4 linked regions of the Schizosaccharomyces pombe genome follow. The protein of the gene in region 1 interacts with the protein of each later gene in a biochemical or structural test. Each region holds a gene or a part of one and is shown in the gene's direction. Other genes may lie near its edges.

Region 1 (5,705 bases):
TGATGATTTCCACATCGCTGTTACATTTTTTACATTTTTATATTGGAACTCAATATTCGTGGAAGGAACTTGTTTAAACTCATCGCCTATATTCATGCAATCAGTATAGTCAATTCGCAGCTCTTTGACCTAATAAAATGTTGATTAGCAAATGATCTAGAAAAAATGATATTTTCGGTAACGTTCGGGCTACACGTGTGCTAACACCGACAAAGGATAAGGCTATAATCAGATAAAAATTATTCGCAAATAATCATATCTTTCCAAAATACAGTAATGTATTGCAAAATATACCCAGTTTATCAATTTGAAACATATAGCTCTATGGAAACGCGTGATGCTTAGACTTACCCGTCGACTGGCCACAAACATGCCAGCTCCCAAAGGAGCAAACACTATGCCTAATAAGAATAATAACGGCAAGACTGTCCATGGTGTGAATATAAACTGCCAAGCAGGAAGTGTTTGCTGAACAAACCGAGATTTGTCACTACATACGGATCAGTAAACCAATTTGCCAAAAAACGAATGTAATCAAGACAACTTACGGGCGCTTAAATCTCTTATGCTTTGGTTTTTTAACTATTTCTGTTTGACTCATAGTATATAATCAGGCATTCAACAATGCTTACGAATATGAAGAATGCAAGATTAACTTGGTCCTTGGTAAAAGTGCGAGACTGCGCAAAACTCCATCATCACCTTACTCTCTCGCTGTCACTTGGGTTAGCAGGTTATATGACACAATTTATATGTAAACACAGAGAAAAAAGCATTGATTACAAAAGATATCAAAGTTATTTCATAGTAAATAACTCGTATAGTATTGATTTCCTAAAAGCATTTTTTTTTTGGGTGAAATTTTGAATGACTTATTAAGTTCATTGCTTATAATCGTATATGAAATCGCTAATAGCAGCTGCAGTGAATCAATAAAAAACCTTTCTTATTTTTAATTATGTTAATTATAATTTTTTTGTAGCCGTTTATACACAGTATTCTTGAAAAGATTATTTCAGCCGATGGATTAATGAAATAAATAGCAATTTTCCATGCGGTGAAAAAGGAAATCAAATAATATACCCGCTTGTATTCAAGGTTTTTATAAATCAAATCAGTGGAATATTCACCATCATCAGAAAAAGTTTTTTTAAATAATGAATGACATTCACAAGACACAGGATTCACCGCCGTACCCTTTTTATCCATAAAATTAGAATCATATCATTTTGCTCTTCATGATTTAGTTTATGTTGTTAGAAGGGGGTTTCCAGCGTGGTGATTCAATTTTTATTCTAAGCTTTATAAAGTTTTGTTCGGCGGTTTTCAAAGTAATGTTTAAGAGTGATGAACTTATCCGCTTCTTCACTTCTTTGAGACTTTCAATTACCTGTATAATATCTGTAGATTTGTAGAAACAGCTAAGTATCGCTATATGAATATTGATTACTTACATTGCTCAAGTAGTTTCGTTATAATGTAATGTAATAGATAACAAATTTAAAAAAAAACTGCCTATAAGAATCACTGTATAGCTGAATATTAGTTTAAGAAATTAAGCATACTAGTGGCACCTTTCACCACGAATAGCTCCATGACTGCTGCTAGCATCAAACTTCTCCAACCTTCTTATCGATCTTAACCACTATAATTATCTCACCATCATACGCGGAATTTCATTTATTTGATCAATTGCTTTTTCATTTGCAAAAGGCCAACTATCTAGAAGTATTCTTTCTCTTTCCATTTGTTGTTACCATTACTTCTTGCGTACAGAGCAGATAGAAGTATTAGAATTCATTTATTTTTTGTTAACTGTCTTTTTTACCAAAAAAATTATTTTTTAAGATATTCCCTTCATTCCAAACTTTTCTCTCAATTTATACTCAACATATTTCTTAAATTCCATTATGGCTTATCAAACTCGTGAAGGTCTCCCTAATGGCTGGGTCGCTCAGTGGGATGAACGCTACAAGTGTTACTTTTATGTTAATGAAAGTGATCCCAAAGCAAAGCCGCAATGGGAATGTCCGGTCCGTGGTTTAACTATTCCACCACCTCCTTCGGTGGACCACTCTGCTCCCCCAAGTGGACCGCCTCCTTCTTATTCCAACTCAGCCGCTCCTGCCACTCCTGCCGCTTCTGCTTCTTCTGCTGCTCCTGCTCCTGCTCCCGCAGCTTCCCAAAACAGAGCATACGGGGCCGCTCCACAGCCTTATCCCCCTCAGGGCGGTTATCCTCAACAACCATATTATTATCCCAATCAACCAAATTATTACCCAGCCCAGCCTGCCTACGCACAACCCGTATATGCCCAGCCTGCTACTTCTGCAAGAAGAGGTCGTAGCGGAGTCTTGTCTAATCCCATGGTGACTGGTTTGGGCGGACTTCTTGTCGGTGGTTTGGCTATGCATGAAATGGACGAAGCTTTTGATCGTCCTGAAGAAGTTGTTTATGTAGATGATAATAACTACAACAATTTTGATGATTATGGAGGTAATGACTTTGGCAATGATTTCTTTTAAGGGAATTTCATGCATCGATTATGTTATTGAGTTCAACTGCATTATTGACAAGTGTTTCTCGCAAGAAAAATTACATTAGATGAACGATTAATACATATTTTACTGCAGAAATATAAGATCATTCATTTTACACCTGTGTGTACACGGGGATAGTTCATTAGTGTGGTTAACTCGAAAGTCTTCGTCGTAAATGAATATTGACTTATTCAATGCTGTTCCCTAGTAATAGTTATTATTTATATTAACTTTTTTTTACCTTTTCTCCTTCGCAATGCTTTTTATCTATCTGGATTTTTTTTATGACTCTGTAACTTCTGACATACACACGGATTCTGCTTGTTTTTATAAGTGTGATATTTATTTATTTATTTTTCTTTTAAATAAAAAAAAATGTTTTGTTTTCTTTGCGAGCAGGTGGAGAAGTCTTTGACAGTTTTTACAATTTCACATTTATCTTAAAGGGTTAGTCTATAAATATTAGACAACTCAGGATAATCCAACCTACCGTAAATTTATTTATTTAATAATAGCACTTTTTTGACTGATATTCACATTTACAATTTTTTAATTCACGGTTATACAATGTCTTCAGATGATGTTTTGATTATGTAGTTCTTCATATCTGATCACCTAGTATAAATTGCAAGTAATGAGTTATGTCCTACTTTTCTAATTTCATTTTTGATAACAGTATAATTCATAAGTTAGAAACATGAAGCGCTAGCCCTAAGTTCGGTTTGATAATAGTCCTCTGCGTTTCCACTAGTCTATCGCTAGTTGAGCAAGCTTACCCACAGCACAACACAACATAAGCAAATTTGTATAAACGTATTTTGAGATCATTCTCGCATCTCTATTAACAGATATTAGAAAAATTATTTTCCAAAAAACATACCGCTAGGTTGCTTCTTTTAGTGGTTTGCAATGGAGAATTATCAAAAAGTCGAAAAAATTGGGGAAGGTAGGTGTAACTGAGGAAGCTATGACTTATCCAATTTCTTTTCTGTCACGTATACTGACTAATGCTAGGAACCTATGGCGTTGTTTATAAAGCAAGACATAAATTGTCAGGGCGTATTGTGGCCATGAAAAAAATTCGCCTTGAAGATGAATCTGAGGGAGTTCCTAGCACAGCTATTCGTGAAATTTCGCTTCTTAAAGAAGTGAATGATGAGAATAATCGATCAAATTGTGTTCGGTAAGTTTTTACTTGACGGATGCATGGGAAATGTTTACATTGATAAAACTTTGTTTCTAACCCTTTTTTAAGACTTTTGGATATTTTACATGCTGAATCAAAGTTGTATCTTGTTTTTGAGTTTTTAGACATGGATTTGAAAAAATACATGGACCGAATTTCAGAAACTGGGGCCACTAGTTTAGATCCGAGACTTGTTCAAAAGTTTACCTACCAGCTAGTGAACGGTGTAAATTTTTGCCATTCTAGAAGAATCATTCATCGCGATTTAAAACCACAAAATTTGTTGATAGACAAAGAAGGCAATTTGAAGCTAGCAGATTTTGGACTTGCGAGGTCATTTGGTGTCCCTTTGCGGAACTATACGCATGAGGTATATTTTTTTTCTTACTTGGCTGTATGACTTTATTCCCAAAAAATTTGGAATATTGACTGACGGTCTTTCAGCATTAATTTGTGTCGCTAACCGTTTAGATTGTCACTTTATGGTATCGTGCTCCTGAAGTATTGTTGGGATCAAGACATTATTCCACTGGGGTTGATATTTGGAGCGTTGGATGTATTTTTGCTGAAATGATTCGACGAAGTCCATTATTTCCCGGTGACTCTGAGATCGACGAAATTTTTAAAATTTTTCAAGTTTTAGGTACCCCAAACGAAGAAGTATGGCCTGGAGTCACGCTTTTGCAAGATTACAAATCCACATTTCCTCGTTGGAAACGCATGGATTTGCATAAAGTTGTTCCCAATGGTGAAGAGGACGCTATTGAATTACTCTCTGTAAGATTTTGCATTACCATCTATTTAAGACTAATTACTAACCATTTTGTCAAGGCTATGCTTGTTTATGACCCTGCCCATCGCATTAGTGCAAAACGAGCTTTGCAACAAAATTATCTTCGTGATTTTCATTAATTTTCGTCTCTTATTATTAAACCTTTAAAAACGCTATCCTTGACTTTATCTGTACTTTGCTGTGTTTCTTGATATCAGTTATTAACAAATTACCTCAATTTATAAACCGAAAATATTTATTTTCCTCCTTCTTTTTCGAATCTTGGCGTTTGTTCAAAACATACTCAAACAATGGGCAATTTACAGGGCATATAAAAAACACTGACATATTGAGCTTGCCATTAAATGTGAATTTAGTAACGTTTTTAGTTCTGTTCCCTTTACTGTGTCTTTATTGTAAATATCACTTTAAATGCTTTCTTTGACTGTCAAGGGAATTATCGCCGTTCTTTTTACAAAAGCAGGCTCTGAGTGTTTAAATCTATTTTTCTTTCATTCCTGATAAAACTGAAGCCTTTTAATCTCCCTTTTTCTTACTTACTCTTATCCTTTGTTTTCCAGTTTTTTAATCCTCATTTATACTATATTCTATTTACATATTTTTTATACTTAAGTATTAAAAAAGGTGTATATTCTTTAGACTTTAGTTTTTAGTGTTCGTGTTTGCTCTGAACATATAAACTGCACTTACTTAGATGTATTTAGTATCAAAGAGGTGAATTAATTTTACGAGCAAACGGTAAAAGAACGTAAATGTGCTTATTGTTCAACAGACATACGTGTTTATTAAATTTTACAAGATGAAAGTGATATGAATATTTGTATTTCACACTATATTGAACGCTAAGCGAGCATCATTTACAGCTTAAGTCTATACCTAGAGCGTTTGGAAAAATTCAAAATTAATAAATCGTATAAACAAGAAGTAAAACTAAACAGCGCAGGAGAAACCACTAGATGCATGGATACATACTAACGATTGAACCTGGCAAAGTGTAATTGGACAGAATGAAACGAGACATATTGGAAATATAACGTCTAAAGATGAAACGCAGGACAAATTTGTTTGGAGGCTTGAGAGGAATGAAAAGGGAGCAAATACATGGAGGGAAGAGCATTTCCATTAAACTGCGCATGCACATTTTACTTTCCATGCTTTAATCATAGAAAAAGGTAACCAATTAAAT
Region 2 (5,524 bases), 1.7 Mb from region 1:
GCACCAACAGAAGCCTCGTGCATCAATAAAGCACCGCTCTCCTTGCTAGCCTTGATAATGTTTTGATAGACATCATTACTAGCAGAGAATGCTTTCTTGTTGGGAGTAGCAATGTTGATTTTCTTGCTCAAAAATTTAGGATAAGATTGAGCGATTGCTTCAGAGGCAGTGTTATCGACCAAAATGGCGGGAAGGGGGGACTTGGCAAGGAAATCTACCAAAGCATCTAATGAATAAGCACCTTGGTTCTGAGAAGTAAGGTTCTTCCATTCAGACAAATTAATGGGCTGATAATCCTTGGAGACGTAGTGACCTTCCATACTAGAAATGGCAACAACGTTAAAAGAGGTAGTGCCATTGGTAGAAGCGTTTTCATTAAAACCCTTAATTTGGTTTAAGAGTTCACCGCCGATGTTTCCTGTACCTATTTATTTTTAAGTGATTAGCTTTCGCTTTACAAAACATTCAAGCATTCAATTTATTGTGTGCTTACCAACAATAGCAACGTTAACGTTAGTTCTGCTAGCTGACATTTTCAAATAGTGGGTGGGAGAGGTAGAGATGCTACGACGTTGGGTCGGATTACGAAAAGCAGTGACAAGGGTTTTCTCAAAGGAAACTTTGGAAGAGGTGATATACGAATTGATAATTTTGTTGTAGGGAAATAAAATTTTAGAAAGTGTAGATAATTTAGGGAGATTTAAATTTTTTCCATGTCTAAATATTGTCATACCAAACATTTTTTAGAAGAGTTTATTTTATACCCAAAAATGAGTTTTCAACCAAGGAAGGATCTTTCTCTCTGATTGATATCAAAGTTTTGCAGGTATATTTGTTGTGAACAAAATGTGAGCGACATTATATTAATCGAGTCAGAACATATTTGTAATAATACTCAAAAGCGCAAAATCTATTACTGTAGCAATAATGATGTTGATTTCGTTTGATACAAATTTTATTTAATTTGATTTTGTTTTATTGAAGCTCCGCTAAATAAACTTAGCTAGAAATCTAGTATAGAAGCCGATTTATATAAATTAATCACAAATTATAAATATAACGCATTAAATTTCATATATGGGATTCAATGGCATACAATCATATATTTACTTTTACAATTAATAAAAACCACTTAATCAACTTATGTGATTTATTAGTGTTTATCGACTCGTGAAAAAAAATATTTAATTTTTTGCTTCGTAAATTAAATTATATGCTGCTAAGTGTCTAAATAAATCACATTCCATCCATCAAATTTGCTTTTTTATTATTAAAAAAAAAAAAAAAAAAAAAAAAAAAAGAGATTTTTGAAGAGAAAAGTCTAGGGTTCAAGAAAATGAAAAACTGTAATGAAACCAATCTGACTATATAATTTGTTAATTATATATGCATATTATTATGATTAGCAAACTCAAATCATAAGCAGGTGCAGCTTTTTCAATTTAAAAGTTCAGATAACATACATTAAATTATTTATTTATTTTCTAAATCAAGCTTAGAAGAAAATAAAATATTATGATAAAATACTGCGAAATTAAAATGTTCTGAATATACCATTTTAAATTCTAATGAAGTTTTCTTGCAAAACAATAAACCGATATTATCTTGAAGTAGGTTGCTATCTCTTAAAATATTTAAATTATTCTTCACCTTTTATTAATAAAGAAAATTGAATCAATTTGCTAGACAATTTGTAGAGCAGCAAGATTTAGAGGGTTGTTTAAAATCAACAATTAATATAAGAAAAGAATTCCAAAGTAATTTAATTATAGGTTTATATACGTTTTTTTAATGTAGTAGTGATTATAGAAACTAGGAATATAGGAAAGTAGGCACATATTATGCATCAAGCTCGTTGTACACCCACCACCCAACCATTCAACTACCTACTACATACAACTCACTCCAGTTTCCTACTGTTAGCCATAACCTTTATTTCTGAGTTAGCAGCAAATATTGCTTTTAAACGGTTTGCCGACTGAATACCGTTCTCCGTCCGTCTTACTTTTCCTCGGAACACTTTACTTGGAAGAAAAATCGTCGAAATTCGGTCGAGTAAAAAATTAATCACAGACCCAAAAATTTGACTTCATAAGTGTCAAAAGCGGTTATATTGGATACCTGTAAAATGTCGAACCCAGATGTGGATTTGGATTCCATTATCGACCGCTTGTTAGAAGGTGAGTGGGGAAAAGCAGACTTGATCATGATGAAGGGTTGAGTTTAGACAAATTTTTGAAAGGAAATTGAAATCAGTTGTTGTTTAATACAATAATTTACATGAAGAAACTGGAAACGACTCTATGTAAATGTTCATTCAACTGTTCATAAAATTTGAGGAAAACCCAGGAAAAAGGGAAAGTTTTTTCTTTGAAAACGTTTAGAAAGCATTTTCTTTGATTCTTGGTCTCATTTGTGATGACACTTGCTTTATATACATAATCACGCATATTTGTATTCAAATGCGATTGCATATTGGCATATATCGTGTTTCTGTGTGAATGATTTTTCTAACCAATACTTCCATCCTTAATTTTACCATTTAAACCATTTAGCTATTTACTAACTTCTTTTAGTCCGTGGTAGTCGTCCAGGTAGACAGGTTCAATTATCTGAAGATGAAATACGATTTTTATGTAACAAAGCACGTGAAATATTTATTAGTCAACCTATCCTTCTAGAGCTTGAAGCTCCTTTGAAAATTTGTGGAGATATTCATGGCCAATATTACGATCTTCTTCGACTTTTTGAGTACGGAGGATTCCCTCCAGAAGCCAACTATCTGTTTCTAGGTGATTATGTTGACAGAGGAAAACAAAGCTTGGAAGTAATTTGTCTTTTGCTCGCTTATAAAATCAAGTACCCCGAAAATTTTTTTATTTTACGTGGAAATCATGAATGCGCCAGTATTAATCGTATCTATGGATTTTACGATGAATGTAAGCGCCGTTATAACATTAAGTTATGGAAAACATTTACAGATTGCTTCAACTGCCTTCCTATAGCAGCTATCATTGATGAAAAAATTTTTACTATGCATGGAGGTCTTTCGCCAGATTTGAACTCTATGGACCAGATCCAAAGAATCATGCGACCGACCGATGTCCCTGATACTGGGTTACTCTGTGATTTACTTTGGTCTGATCCTGACAAGGATCTTACAGGCTGGGGTGATAATGATAGAGGTGTTTCTTTCACGTTTGGACCTGATGTTGTCTCTCGGTTTTTGCACAAACACGATATGGATCTTGTTTGCCGAGCCCATCAGGTTGTGGAAGACGGTTATGAGTTCTTCTCTAAACGTCAGCTAGTCACATTGTTCAGTGCACCTAATTACTGTGGCGAGTTTGATAATGCAGGTGCGATGATGAGTGTTGACGAGAGCTTGTTGTGCAGTTTCCAGATTTTGAAACCGGCTGAAAAAAAACAACGCTACGGATACCAAGGTTCAAGTCAAAATTGGCACATGACTCCACCTCGGAAGAATAAGACAGGAAATTCAAAGTAATTTAAGCTCAATCCAATTTCTCCCATTCTTTTTTGTTGGTTTCATTTTCCACAAGCAACAATTCGACGATAATACCGCTTTATGTAGCTGTTTGAACGGATTTCTTTTCGTCATTTCTCAATGGTCGATGATTAATTGTTCATGAAATAACTGAATGTTCTTTTAAGAAATTATTTTTTGCACTACCATTTCATTATTCATTTTCTTTCTTTTCCGTCAATTGTTAGATGTATATAGACTATTGCCTTTTATTTTTCATCATCTAAATTCCCTTTTTTAACAAAATCTGACGCTTAAAAGACGGATGTTTTTACCGAGCAATAGTTGTTTGAACTACTTTATACTTCTTATCTTCGAGAGAGTGCTTAACGTTGATGATGGCATTTTCCGCTGCAAGCTTCTGTTTGCTATCGGTGGAATCCTTTATAATGACCATTGACAATTTTGTTTAAAGGTCTTTCATTTCAATTATGTATACTGGTCTCACGTTGGAAAATAATTTGCCTATTTAGTTATTGTTTATACTACTATGCAATCAAATTTCCTTTTCAGTGATGCTATTTTATGGTAGTTCACACGTTTATATACAGTAGGCTTATACAATGTTTCGGCATTCCTTGGGATTTGATAATATAAAGCCACCGTTTAATCGTAAGAGAGAGTAAGGTGCTTATTATCATTACAGCTATTTACCGGCGAGTTAGCAGAGTACTCACTAACAAGTCTATGAACACAATAATAATATTAAGAAATTCAGATTTATACTGCTGCTAAGGTACTATCAATTAATAGAAAATTTGTACCACCCAATTCTTGACTAAATTCGGTGAAGATTAGCCGAAAGTTAGCCAATATGTATAAGGGCGAATCATCAGTCTAGCACGAAAAACAAGTTCAACCGCAATTAATCTCACGGGTAATTTTGTTAAAAAGTGCAATGATACAATTTACTTTAGATTAACAGAACGTCACAGCTATTCATATACATCCAGTAAGAGCTTACTCTACGCATTCGCTTTAAATTTAACCGGCAGACTACCTTTATTTTTAGAAGCACAAATCAAACGAGATTCTCATTTTAGAAATCCAAAATTTTTAAAACGTTGAATTATGCCATTTATGTAGAAACCAAACTAAGACAACTAATTCCAAGCATTTTAAGCAGAGGCCTTAGCTTGACGAATAGCTTCGACGGTACCACGGTTGGCAAACTTTTGGTTGCGGCGGAACTTAGCATCACGGTACTTAAGAGAATCGTAACGGTGCTTTTGAGGACGCTTAATACCGTTACGGTGAGCCTTCTTGTTTTGGTTGTGCTAAGCTCAGTTAGTATTAACATTCATTCAACAATCTACAAAGACAAACTCACATTAGTATGATTCTTCGACTTGGCCATTTTGGTTCCTGGATAGGTGAAAGAGGATTATGCAAAGCAAAATATTGTTTCAAAAAAAGCAGTCACGTTTACAAGTTTCTGTAGCGTAGTTTACTAAAGCGAATACCGATATCGTCGGTATTACATTAAATTATGAATGATAACTTCGGCGAGTTCCCATTGCATTGGTGCTGTGTGTATGCATAATTGCTAAATAATCGTGTAGTTGAAATGTTTTTGAGCACTTTTGTGTAAAACATAACGATGAAGGAAAGTGAAGTACTGGAATGTTAATAAAATAAAATGGTAATAAATAAAAAAATGATCAAATAAACGCTTACTCTGTAATTTATGTTGTATTCCAAGTTATAAATTAAAACAACTAACAAGCTATCGTAGCAATTACAGGATAACGCAAAACATGATCTATGTTTATGACTAGTACTTCAATTTGTTTGATGCTCGGCGCGGAAAAATGAAAGCTCGATGCATTGATTTTAAAAATATTGGTAGATTCTTAAAACCACAATCATAGTTTTTTTTTTTTTTTTTTTTCGTTTCGTCTGATCAATGTGCAAAGTATGCACTTTCTTCTATTTTTACTACACATTTCAACATCCAAACAATTTTGCACTATAATA
Region 3 (6,330 bases), 2.7 Mb from region 1:
ATCATATTGTTTATCATTTACGGACGTTGAAAGGATTGCTAATGTAGTATTTGTCTGTTCAAGTAATTTTTGGTATTCCTAAAGAACCAACTTCATTATGATTCAGGGCTTAAAGGGTTATAGGAATTAACATATTTTTCCTTTAAATATCGTATTGACTAAGAATTCACCTAATATAAATAGCGAATTCAACGCTCAATTGCAATCGTAGGATCTGAAATATAACTACTTAATTGACAGCCAAAGATAATTCAGAATCTAAATATGCTGTATTTACGCTTTCTCACAAACGTAGTAAGGTATCATTTACATAACATTATTAAATATTTGATTATTTTATTTTATAAGTTATATTTATTTTTCCTCGAAGCTATCATACTACCCAAATTAAGCTATGTTTGTTTCAAGGATAGGATTTTTGCAGTGTAATCAAACGTTATTGTTAAACAACGCAACGAACTACAACGAAAGCTAGAGCTTCGTGGTTTCGACACAGTACATACAACCTGTCTTTTGCATTTCGCAGTTTAAGCAGTTTGCGATTGGGATAATGTCGTTGATAACTTTCAAAGCAGGAAAGCTTCGCAGAGTTCCAGGAACAAAGCTTTTACGTGCTGACCCAGAAAAAGGGTATGCTCGCATATTATGTATGATAGCTAACAAATCACAGTTATATAGTCATGAATCGGGACGCCTATGGATTAATTCATTTTCAATGGGCAAAAAGGAATGATCTTGAAAATCCCGAGGATGTAAGTATCACTTTCAATACCACCTGTAACACATTAAAAGTTCTAGTCGATACTAACCAAGTTTAGGATATAATTGTATTTTCTTCTGAGTGTACATTTGAAAAAGTTACGGAATGTACCACTGGGAGAGCTTACATGCTCAAATATCCTTCTAGCGCTCATAGCCTATTTTACTGGATGCAAGAAGCCTCAGACGATAACGATACTTCTTACGCTGAAAGAATTAACAGCTACATTAAGGATCAAGATTTATTAGATCCGGCCCGCTCTGATGTTGCAACGGTTTCTGATATGATGGAAGTGGATACTGTTGAGCAATCGGAACCTATTGCTCAACCAACTGAATCTTCAAAAGAGAGCTCCGAGATTGGAGCCCCGAACAGCGATGAAATTAATTCATCGGAAGCTGTGAGGAATCTATTGGCTACAATTTCTGCTCAGGCTGGATTTGGAGGTAGTACAGTCGATCTTTGCGAAATCCTCAAACCTTCGAATTTAACCGATCTTTTATGCCAAGAAGGTGTTATTGATCGACTCATGCCTTACATGCCTCCTGATACCCCAAATAATTTGGAGGGGGTTTTGGCTATTGTTAGTAGTCCTCAATATGCTCAAGCTTTGAGAAGCTTTTCTCAAGCTTTAAATTCTCCTGGTGGTGTAAACATTATTTCAGCACTTGGTCTCTCACTCGACGAATCTGCCAATCCTAATGAGGGAGGTGCTCTGCAATTTCTTAAAGCAATTGCTCGCTTCGTGAGCAGGAATAATGGTTCTGAGTAATGTCTTCGATTAAGTAATTCGTCGTATATCAAAAATTTCTATTTAAAATATTATCCGTTGAATCGTTTCTTTATAATTCACTGACGATTCGTATTAAAAGTTTTTAAATTGAGCATTACTGGCGTTCTTTTTTTTTTTTTTAAATAAATATGGAGGAATTAAAATGCTTTCATGGTAGGATTTGTCCTCTTACCAAAATGAGTAAGAGTAAGTTGGAGTACACAATACAATGTTGCTCGCTCAAAATGCTCTTTACAGAATGTTTATTGGTACAGTTTCATTTTTTCTCATATATGAAATATTTGTTTTAGGAAATAGGCAATCTTTATTTTTCTTGCATACAATGCTTATCTTTCCTAAACACTTAAGATTTATAAATGCAATGTATGTTCATGAATATGAACTGCGAGCGCCAAGGATGAATTACATTAGGACGACTAAAAATGAGAAGTTGCACTCCCGAAGTATCTCTACTTCATACTTCATTATTATTTATGCTTTATATTGATTATTGTTGTTTTACAAAATATGTTTTATTTCCAAAACAGTTGGTAAAATGTAGGATATGTAATGTCAAATACATAATACCAACATCTATTCTTAATAAGTTAGAAAGTTGAACAGTATTGAAATGATTTACTAAAGCTAGAAAGTAGCCAACTGTAAATGGTTAAAGTATTGACGTGTAGTCACATTCAATTTTTGCGCAATATCATTGAATTTCAAATCTAACGATTTTACTTTTGTAAACAGCCAAAAAAGTGGTCATAAAACGGTCAGGGAGGGACTCGAACCCTCGACCTCACGATTAACAGTCGTGCGCAATAACCAACTACGCTACCCGACCTCGGTGTCATCCGTTACATTTAGTAATATATATTGTTAAAAAAATAAAGCGTAGTAAATGTAATTGCTTTTTTGAGCTATGGCTTGTTACATTCTTTCTCTTGAGCAAATTTAGACTTGCTCATTACAATCATAATCGCTTTATAACGTCTATCTGCTTGTCTTCATTTGCATGAAAAAAAATCATATAAACAATGTATGCGGATAGTCAACTCAAACAAAATAGTAGTAATTAAATAGCAATAATAAAGAAGGAGCCTACAGCACCCCGGATTCCCATGTTGTCTCCAACCATAGTACTAACGAGGCCCTCAGACGCTTAACTGCAGTGATCGGACGGGAACTGGTGTTTTCGCCTAGGTATGGCCGTAGACAGCTGTTAAGTTTTAATAAAGTATATAAACGATAGTTATCACTCATTAGGAATTCGAATGTATGTTGGCTCCACTACGAATAAGATATGAATGTTAGCAATATAACCTGAAACTATATTTGACATTCTTTTTTTAGAAATATCATTAAACAAGCAAAATCTATTTTCTATGATTGTTTCAAAAAGTCAAGATGAAAAGTTCAAAACTCAAATTTAAAATTACTTCTTCAACATTACTGATTCTAACAACATAAATCTCCTATCGAACGTATTAATAAAAGTGGAAACATGCTGTAGTTTGTACATCAGGTCAAACAATTATTAATAAAATTAGAAAATAAGTTTTTCTACCTTGAGCCCTTCATTTCCATATTAATATATATATATATATGATTAGCCAAATAGCTGGTGTTGTAACTAAACGTTCTTAACTGCTTTCATATAAAGTAACGGTGCAACGTGTTACTTATGCAGAGCTTACAACAGATAAATCGAAATTTGGGTTAAGCCCTGGTTAAATTTGTAGTTCTGACAATTGTGAGGTATTTTAGATGTTTTCAATATTTTGTTTGAAAGTTTAACAATATTATGGAGGTGAATGATACCTCTTTGCATAAAGGATTTGGCCTTGACATAAATTCTCAACGTGTATTTGGAGCACAAGCAGCAATTTCTCGTAACAATTATTCAAAAGTGAATGCTTCAATTAATCCTTCCCCTCCTAGGAGTAATGATAATTCTAATAAGGAGTTTAGTTATTCTAAGGATGTGAATAACAATGGTGCTGTTGAGGAGCTAAGTCTTACGCAGTTGTTTGAAGTACCTAGTCAAGCTGCTTTTGCAAAACAGAGTTCCCAGGACATTTCGGATGATGAACTTATTCAACATGATTCTCGTAAGGTGATATCGTCGCCTTATTCACCCAAGCAGACACATACAGTGTTAAAACGCTTATACGATCGTCAATCAGTTATATCGGACCATGAAAAGCTGTTGACTCCTCAGAATGTATCTAATTCTTCCCAAATTCTTTCCCCATTTACTTCTCTATTACCATCAACTCTTTCAACTTTAAAAGATACACCTTTGTCAGTTTCTCAAAATGAGAAAAACTTAGAAACCGTTGGAGAAGTCCTTGTACCTGAAACCGTAGCTCAACATAGGACAAAGTTTTACGATTACACTTTGGATGAGATGGAAAATGAGACAGAAAGCGGTCAAGTAGAGACTACACCTACTCGACTGGCGACTTCTCTAGGGTCTCCCGTTCTTTATGGTCGAGTAGAGTCCACTCCTCCTGCTTTTTTACCAGAGACATCCGAAAAACAATATAAACGAAAATTTAGCTTTACTGAGCCCTCGTCTGAAAAAGTTGATAATACGGAAACCAAGTTTTCAAAAAAAACTAAAAACATTAATGATGAAAACTTTCCTAATCCATTTAATGTGATTTCTTCATATGAAACAAGTGCTTCACCGTCGACTGTAATAGATCAGTCTAGTCAAGTGAGCTCAATTTTTGTAAACAAACGGCTGAGAAAATCGGTTAATAATCAAGCTATCTCAAGGTCTGACAGCCTAAGCCTGGATACTCCTAAAATTGATAGTTTATTCACTAGGGCTTCTATTAAGCCATTAAAACCTTCCCAATCACCGAATTCAAGAAGGTCTTTTAAAAACCGTGTACTCGCTTTTTTTAAAGGATATCCCTCTTTTTACTACCCAGCAACTCTTGTCGCACCCGTACATTCAGCCGTAACAAGTTCCATCATGTATAAGGTTCAATTTGATGATGCAACTATGAGCACGGTTAATTCAAATCAAATTAAGAGATTTTTTTTGAAAAAAGGAGACGTTGTACAATCCACAAGATTAGGAAAAATCAAGCATACTGTTGTGAAAACATTTCGATCTACTAATGAGCAATTATCCCTTATAGCAGTGGACGCTCTAAACAACGACATGGTTATTTTGGCACACGGAGAAATTGAGGTTACGGTTCCCATTTCTACTATTTATGTTGCTCCTGTGAACATTCGGCGGTTTCAAGGAAGAGACCTCAGTTTTTCTACTTTAAAAGATATGAAGTTTGAGGAAACATCATTTCTTCCTTCACATGATTCTCAGAGAAACCGCTCTTCTTTGAAAGAAAGGGATTCTTCCTTTGTCAAGAAGAACTTGGATTCAGAAAGTAATCAGCTCATCTTTGACGATTGCGTGTTTGCATTCAGCGGTCCCGTGCATGAGGATGCCTATGACCGAAGTGCATTGGAAACTGTAGTTCAGGATCATGGAGGATTAGTTCTTGATACAGGCTTACGCCCTTTGTTTAATGACCCGTTTAAAAGCAAACAAAAAAAGTTACGCCATTTGAAACCTCAAAAGCGAAGTAAATCGTGGAATCAAGCTTTCGTTGTATCTGACACATTTTCTAGAAAGGTTAAATATTTAGAAGCTCTAGCTTTTAATATCCCGTGTGTCCATCCTCAATTTATTAAACAGTGCTTAAAAATGAACAGAGTTGTTGATTTTTCTCCTTATTTATTGGCATCTGGCTATTCACACCGTCTAGATTGTACACTTTCCCAACGGATAGAACCTTTTGATACCACTGATTCTTTATATGACAGACTTTTGGCAAGGAAGGGTCCTTTATTTGGAAAAAAGATTTTATTTATTATACCTGAAGCAAAATCTTGGCAGAAAAAGATTGAAAATACAGAGCAGGGTCAAAAAGCTTTGGCTCATGTCTATCACGCGTTGGCATTGGGTGCTGACGTTGAAATTAGACCAAATGTTGCACATTTGGAGTGTGATTTGATACTTACGATGGATGGAAACATTGTAGATGAAACTAATTGTCCGGTCGTTGATCCTGAATGGATAGTCGAATGTCTTATTAGTCAGTCTGATATTTCTACTTAGTTTTGGTTTTTTGATATAGTTATTTTTACTAACTCCCCCTGAGTTTCACTCTCATTAATTTAGCTTTTTATTAATTTTAGATATTTGTTGTTTATTAATTTATTTGCAATACTGACGAAAAGTGTCAATTTCAATATTAAACAAAAACTTTCTCTAAAAATCTACATGAGAGGATTGATTGGGATTATTAAAAATTTTCAACGAACTTAAAGTCCTTTATTTTTTCACTTTTTTTCGTGGCTGTAGAATATTGGCTTGCGTAGCAGGTTTCGAATGGTTGTGATTTTTACGATCATCACGTTTTGCCAACCCACATATATCTAGCTTGTAGCGCTTATAATGAAAATCCTTTAAATTTTGTACAGCGGAAAGTGTGTTACTAAGAAACTTTTCTGTTGACGACTGTGCATCAGATAAAGAGCCAAATGGATGCTTCAATAAAGTATCGTAAGTGACTCTGTATAATTTAGCTGGAATCATTACACCAGAATCACCAAAATTATCTTTAGCAATAAATTCTCTTGTTTGATAGAACTGTAGCTGTAATGTGAAAAAGCCAACTAGTTTACCTGAGGAGCACTCTTGTCTATAAGTCAGCGTATCCCAAAACTCTTCAACGGACATGTCACTTTTCTCATCTTGAAGCTCGCATAA
Region 4 (5,145 bases), on another chromosome or scaffold:
ATTTAAGGAATATTACCAAAGCTGGTATCTTAAAATTACGTATTATACAGATGGCTTAACAGACTATTATCCGCTACATAGCGTTACTGAAAAAAGTTTTATTGGGATCATCTTTTGGGCTTCCAAACTTATCCTTCTCCATTTCTTTATCATGGCAAAAGATAAAAAAGACCATAAGCATAGTGGAAGCACCGAAGATGAGTATGATTCATATCTTCCTGCTTTAATGCCAATTGCTAAGCCTTTAGCTCCTAAAAAATTGAACAAAAAAATGATGAAGACTGTCAAGAAGGCTTCGAAGCAGAAACACATCCTTCGTGGGGTCAAAGAGGTTGTAAAGGCTGTTAGAAAAGGAGAGAAGGGTCTTGTAATTCTTGCTGGTGATATTTCTCCCATGGATGTTATATCTCATATTCCAGTATTATGTGAAGACAATAATGTCCCTTACTTATATACTGTTTCCAAAGAGTTGCTTGGTGAAGCATCAAACACCAAGAGACCTACTAGCTGTGTTATGATTGTTCCCGGTGGAAAAAAGAAGGACATGTCTAAAGTTGAGGAGTACAAGGAAAGCTACGAGGAAATTATAAAAGAAGTACCTGCTCTTGAAGTTTAATTGTTCAATATCTAAAAGATGCTTAGCCATTTAATGTAGATTATTATATACTATTAAAATTTGGTATTTATCCTGGGATTTAACTTTTGGTATATCATGTCTGTTTGCTTGATAGTAAGCGAAAAGAAGTTTTGCTTAATGGTCGGTTTTAAGGTTTCAAAAAATTTCCTTTTTAATCTAGTGTTTTATCATTCTTTCTTATGCCCTAGTATTTTATGGGTTTAGACTGGTTTGCGAGCAAACTAATCACTATACCTCCAAAACTTTGTTAGCAATAATATCGTATCATTTACCAACTTATATGAGAATGGTATATCGCTGTAACAGCGATGAAATATCAACTGATTTTTCCTCAAATTTCGTTTACGCTGATCGTTTCATTACGGATTTAGCCTGTGTTTATTTCTAACTAGTTGCGCAAAAAAGTTTTATTATTCGTTTAGGTTGCTATTTAGTATTCAGAGGCGGCGTGTTAGAACCAGTTTACAACTAACTTAAATTTCACCCAACGTCGTTCTTACCATTATAATGTTTACAAATATTATGCTTTCCAGTGCTATCCATAAATGATAGATTAGGGTAGCTTTAAAGGTCCGGCAATTATATGGTTATCTATCCGGATTTTGTTATCGGATTTAAATATATTTGCTAAAACAAATCGAATTTCAGATAAAAAAGTTGGGTTGTATTTGTATGAGCAAAAAGTATTCTGTATGTTTATCATAAATTGATGTGCATTTTTACTTACTTTGTAAGATAATGATTATTGTTGTTTATTTACTATAGTGTTGCTAAAAGTTAATGTCTTTTTTTTTTTAATAAAGAGAAAAGATTAAATGTCAACATAACGTTGTGTATAGTTTAGAATCCACTTTTGTCTTCATTTGTTTCGCACCCCACATATTTTCTTGTGCATTATCATCCCTTCTATTTACAAGGACCACCAACACCCAGGTACACAATTTAGAACTCAACCATTACGGGTTTGACGAATATAGACGAGATTCGCAATTACTTGTCTGATGGATTACCAAGATGATGGGCTTGGTGAAATGATTGAGTTTTTGGAGGGTATGCATGAAGTTTAACTCAAATATCTCGTAAAATTGATTAACATGTTAAATAGACAAGTTATACTACACATCATTGTCGCAACCACCTAAAGCCGAGTTATATCCTCATATGCATTTTTTTACTATCGATGATGAATTGATCTACAACCCTTTTTATCATGACTTTGGTCCGCTGAACGTGAGTCATCTTATTAGATTTGCAGTGATAGTTCATGGTATCATGGGAAAACACAGACAAGCTAAGAAAAGCAAGGCTATAGTTTTATATTCTTCTACAGATACAAGGTTGCGTGCAAATGCCGCTTGTTTGTTAGCTTGCTACATGGTGTTAGTACAAAACTGGCCTCCACATCTCGCATTAGCCCCTTTAGCTCAGGCAGAACCTCCTTTTTTGGGGTTTAGAGATGCGGGATATGCTGTTTCAGATTACTATATCACGATTCAAGATTGTGTTTACGGACTGTGGAGAGCACGAGAGAGCAGCATACTAAATATACGTAATATCGATGTTCATGACTATGAAACTTATGAAAGAGTGGAGAATGGAGATTTTAATTGGATATCTCCTAAGTTTATAGCATTTGCAAGTCCTATTCAGGCTGGTTGGAATCATGCGAGCACACGTCCAAAGAAACTTCCTCAACCGTTTGCGATAGTTCTCGATTATTTCGTCGCTAATAAGGTCAAACTGATAGTTAGGCTTAATGGACCTCTTTACGATAAAAAGACTTTTGAAAATGTTGGAATTCGACATAAAGAGATGTATTTTGAGGATGGCACAGTTCCAGAGCTTTCTCTTGTCAAAGAGTTTATTGACCTTACCGAGGAAGTAGAAGAAGACGGTGTGATTGCTGTTCATTGCAAAGCAGGGCTCGGACGTACTGGATGCTTAATTGGCGCATATTTAATATACAAACATTGTTTTACTGCTAATGAAGTTATTGCTTACATGAGAATAATGCGTCCTGGAATGGTTGTAGGTCCACAACAGCATTGGTTACATATTAATCAAGTTCATTTCCGTGCATATTTTTACGAAAAGGCGATGGGAAGAGCAATCCAACAGGCCACCGCTGCGGAACCCTTAGCTACTCCTCCTCGCCATCCATTGAATGCTACGAATGGTACCTCTCAAAGCAATATCAGTACTCCTCTTCCAGAACCAACGCCTGGCCAACCGAGAAAAGTTTCTGGACATAATCCACCGTCGGCGAGACGTCTCCCTTCAGCGTCCTCTGTCAAATTTAATGAGAAACTTAAAAATGCTTCCAAGCAATCAATCCAAAATGAGAACAAAGCGTCATACAGTAGTTACGAAGATTCAGAAATACAAAATGATGATGAAACACGGACTGTTGGAACTCCAACTGAAACAATTTCAGTGGTTCGCTTGCGTCGCTCATCAAGTCAAAGCAATATCGAACCAAATGGAGTTCGTTCTCCGACATCCTCACCAACTGGTAGTCCAATTCGACGTACAAGTGGAAATAGGTGGTCTAGTGGGTCTAGTCATTCTAAAAAAAGTGCTCAGCGAAGTGTTAGCATGTCATCACTTAACAATACTTCTAATGGCCGTGTTGCTAAACCTAAGCCTTCTAAAAGCCGGCTAATTTCTTAATAAACCTGTAATTACTGGTTTAAATGGCAGTTTTTACATTCCTTTTTTTCATATAAACTAACTTTGAATTATACTGTGTCAACCCTGCATAATTTTTCATTAATTAACTTTACAAATATTCCCTGATTTAGCGCACCTTTGCGCGGTGGGGATCACCACCATTAATGTCTTAGCTATCCTTTTTGTTAACTAACATTCATATTTCTTTGGAAAAAACTTTGGCTTTTTGCAAGCCATGGTTAATGATTTTAATCGAGAAATTGTTTTGGTTATGATATAAAAAGTCTTTGTTTTTTATTACGAATTTCAAGATTTCGCCATTCTATTTTTGGCTGAAGAGGTTCTTTCGCGGGTGCATGGTATCTTTGTTCGTAGCGGTACATTTTATTATATTTTGCTTGAGAATTTTTATCTAAATTCCCAACGGAAATCTGCCTACTTGTTGTACCTAATTTGCTTCAATGTTTTCACCTTTGGGTCAGTTTAAGCACATAGTTTGTCCATTTCTACGAACTGGACGCAAATGTCAGTCTAGGAATTGTTTCTTTAGTCATGACTTTCAAAACTCAACAAAGATTTCACCACCTTATTCCGAAAATGTTGAAGGGTACCCAAAAGTTAAAATTGAAAAATCACTTCCTTACAAATACGATAATTGTAAACTGTCTATTTGTGTTCCAATAGTTACGACCTGTATCCCTTATCATTCGGTTGAAAATCTTAATTTCAACATTAGGCAAAATATATCCACCACTTTAAATTTGGAGAAGACAAATGATTCCATTAAAGAAACCAAGAATGAGAATTTTCGTATGGACGTACTAGAAACTTACAAATGCAAGCAGTTGAATCATCAAACGACGCATCTACCTACAAATACTGTATTAAAAAAGCGTTCTTTATTTAATGATGCCATTTCCATCGTTCCTAATAAGAAGAAGCAACTTGTATCAGCCATTAGTACTAATTCAGATTCTCAAGGAGCGTCTTCCAATATCATTCCTACTCCTAAATATGACTCCAACTCACCAGCTGGGCATGAACTGAGAAAACGAATGACACATTTGTTATATGAGTCTTACAAGGATTTAGGCTATTCCAATGCAGAAAGTAGTATGCTTGCTCTTCTCGATGAAAAAAATATTTGTGAAACTGCAAACAGTAAAATGATATACAGTTCCTCCTGCAAGTCTAAAATTTTATCTCTTAAGAAAGCTCCGAAGAAAAATGAAATACAAGGATCAACTCCTGATGAGAAACTTGAGTCACTTGTTCATTCGGAAGAAGAATTGATTCTATGGGGATATAATATTGGAGACGTTGCACCAGTAAACCCGCCAGATGAACTTCGTGAATGCGATCGATGTGGTACACGGTTTGCGGATCCTCGAGGACCATGTACATATCATTGGGGAAAACTGTTTCGTGAAAAGCAAGGGGGGGAGAAGATTCGTACATACACTTGCTGTGGTGTAAAAGAGGGCGATTCGTCTGGTTGTATTATAGAAGACAACCATGTGTTCAAATACCGACATCTTCCGTATCTTGCTAGCGTTCATCCATTTTCCTACTTACCAGACAGTACAAATAGCAAGCAATTAAGTCATTGCGCGTTAGATTGTGAACTATGCTACACTACGAACGGGATGGAATTGGCTCGTTTGACGGTGGTAGCAAAGGAAAGCATTATTATGGATGTGTTTATAAAGCCTAAAGGCAAAATTTTGAGTCTCAATACTCGATTTAGCGGGATACATGATGCCAAAGAATTAGAATCAGGAATTACCATGGATCAAATGTATATTAAAATAAAGGAACTTGGCATGAATAAAAATACA

Evidence for each region.
Region 2: of the proteins of cdc2 (region 1) and dis2, one has a biochemical effect on the other in vitro, tested with the Schizosaccharomyces pombe proteins (3 studies listed by BioGRID).
Region 3: of the proteins of cdc2 (region 1) and crb2, one has a biochemical effect on the other in vitro, tested with the Schizosaccharomyces pombe proteins (2 studies listed by BioGRID).
Region 4: of the proteins of cdc2 (region 1) and clp1, one has a biochemical effect on the other in vitro, tested with the Schizosaccharomyces pombe proteins (2 studies listed by BioGRID).

The regions. Positions count from the first base shown.
Region 1 is NC_003423.3:1,496,891-1,502,595, forward strand, and holds cdc2 (cyclin-dependent protein kinase Cdk1/Cdc2), read left to right. Parts: upstream 1-3,317; 5' UTR 3,318-3,353; exon of another isoform or gene 3,354-3,395; 5' UTR 3,396-3,449; coding exon 3,450-3,486; exon of another isoform or gene 3,487-3,554; coding exon 3,555-3,723; exon of another isoform or gene 3,724-3,795; coding exon 3,796-4,096; intron 4,097-4,197; coding exon 4,198-4,503; intron 4,504-4,557; coding exon 4,558-4,638; 3' UTR 4,639-5,205; downstream 5,206-5,705. Other genes in the region: aminophospholipid translocase regulatory protein Ivn1, read right to left, coding at 1-129, 352-490, 549-601; protein wwm1, read left to right, coding at 1,911-2,525.
Region 2 is NC_003423.3:3,171,703-3,177,226, reverse strand, and holds dis2 (serine/threonine protein phosphatase PP1 catalytic subunit Dis2), read left to right. Parts: upstream 1-2,128; coding exon 2,129-2,180; exon of another isoform or gene 2,181-2,248; intron 2,249-2,529; exon of another isoform or gene 2,530-2,576; coding exon 2,577-3,508; 3' UTR 3,509-4,062; downstream 4,063-5,524. Other genes in the region: hom6 (homoserine dehydrogenase), read right to left, coding at 1-424, 494-533; rpl29 (60S ribosomal protein L29), read right to left, coding at 4,666-4,824, 4,878-4,904. UniProt on the Schizosaccharomyces pombe protein: Essential role in cell cycle control. PP1 is perhaps required for exit from mitosis.
Region 3 is NC_003423.3:4,207,748-4,214,077, forward strand, and holds crb2 (DNA repair protein), read left to right. Parts: upstream 1-3,219; 5' UTR 3,220-3,339; coding exon 3,340-5,676; 3' UTR 5,677-5,830; downstream 5,831-6,330. Other genes in the region: proteasome regulatory subunit rpn1301, read left to right, coding at 551-630, 671-752, 819-1,532; histone lysine acetyltransferase Rtt109, read right to left, coding at 5,893-6,330. UniProt on the Schizosaccharomyces pombe protein: Essential for cell cycle arrest at the G1 and G2 stages following DNA damage by X-, and UV-irradiation, or inactivation of DNA ligase. Plays a role in the response to DNA damage.
Region 4 is NC_003424.3:4,768,153-4,773,297, reverse strand, and holds clp1 (Cdc14 family protein phosphatase Clp1), read left to right. Parts: upstream 1-1,581; 5' UTR 1,582-1,638; coding exon 1,639-1,687; exon of another isoform or gene 1,688-1,742; coding exon 1,743-3,307; downstream 3,308-5,145. Other genes in the region: box H/ACA snoRNP complex subunit Nhp2, read left to right, coding at 152-616; exonuclease Rex3, read left to right, coding at 3,769-5,145. UniProt on the Schizosaccharomyces pombe protein: Protein phosphatase which antagonizes mitotic cyclin-dependent kinase cdc2, the inactivation of which is essential for exit from mitosis. To access its substrates, is released from nucleolar sequestration during mitosis.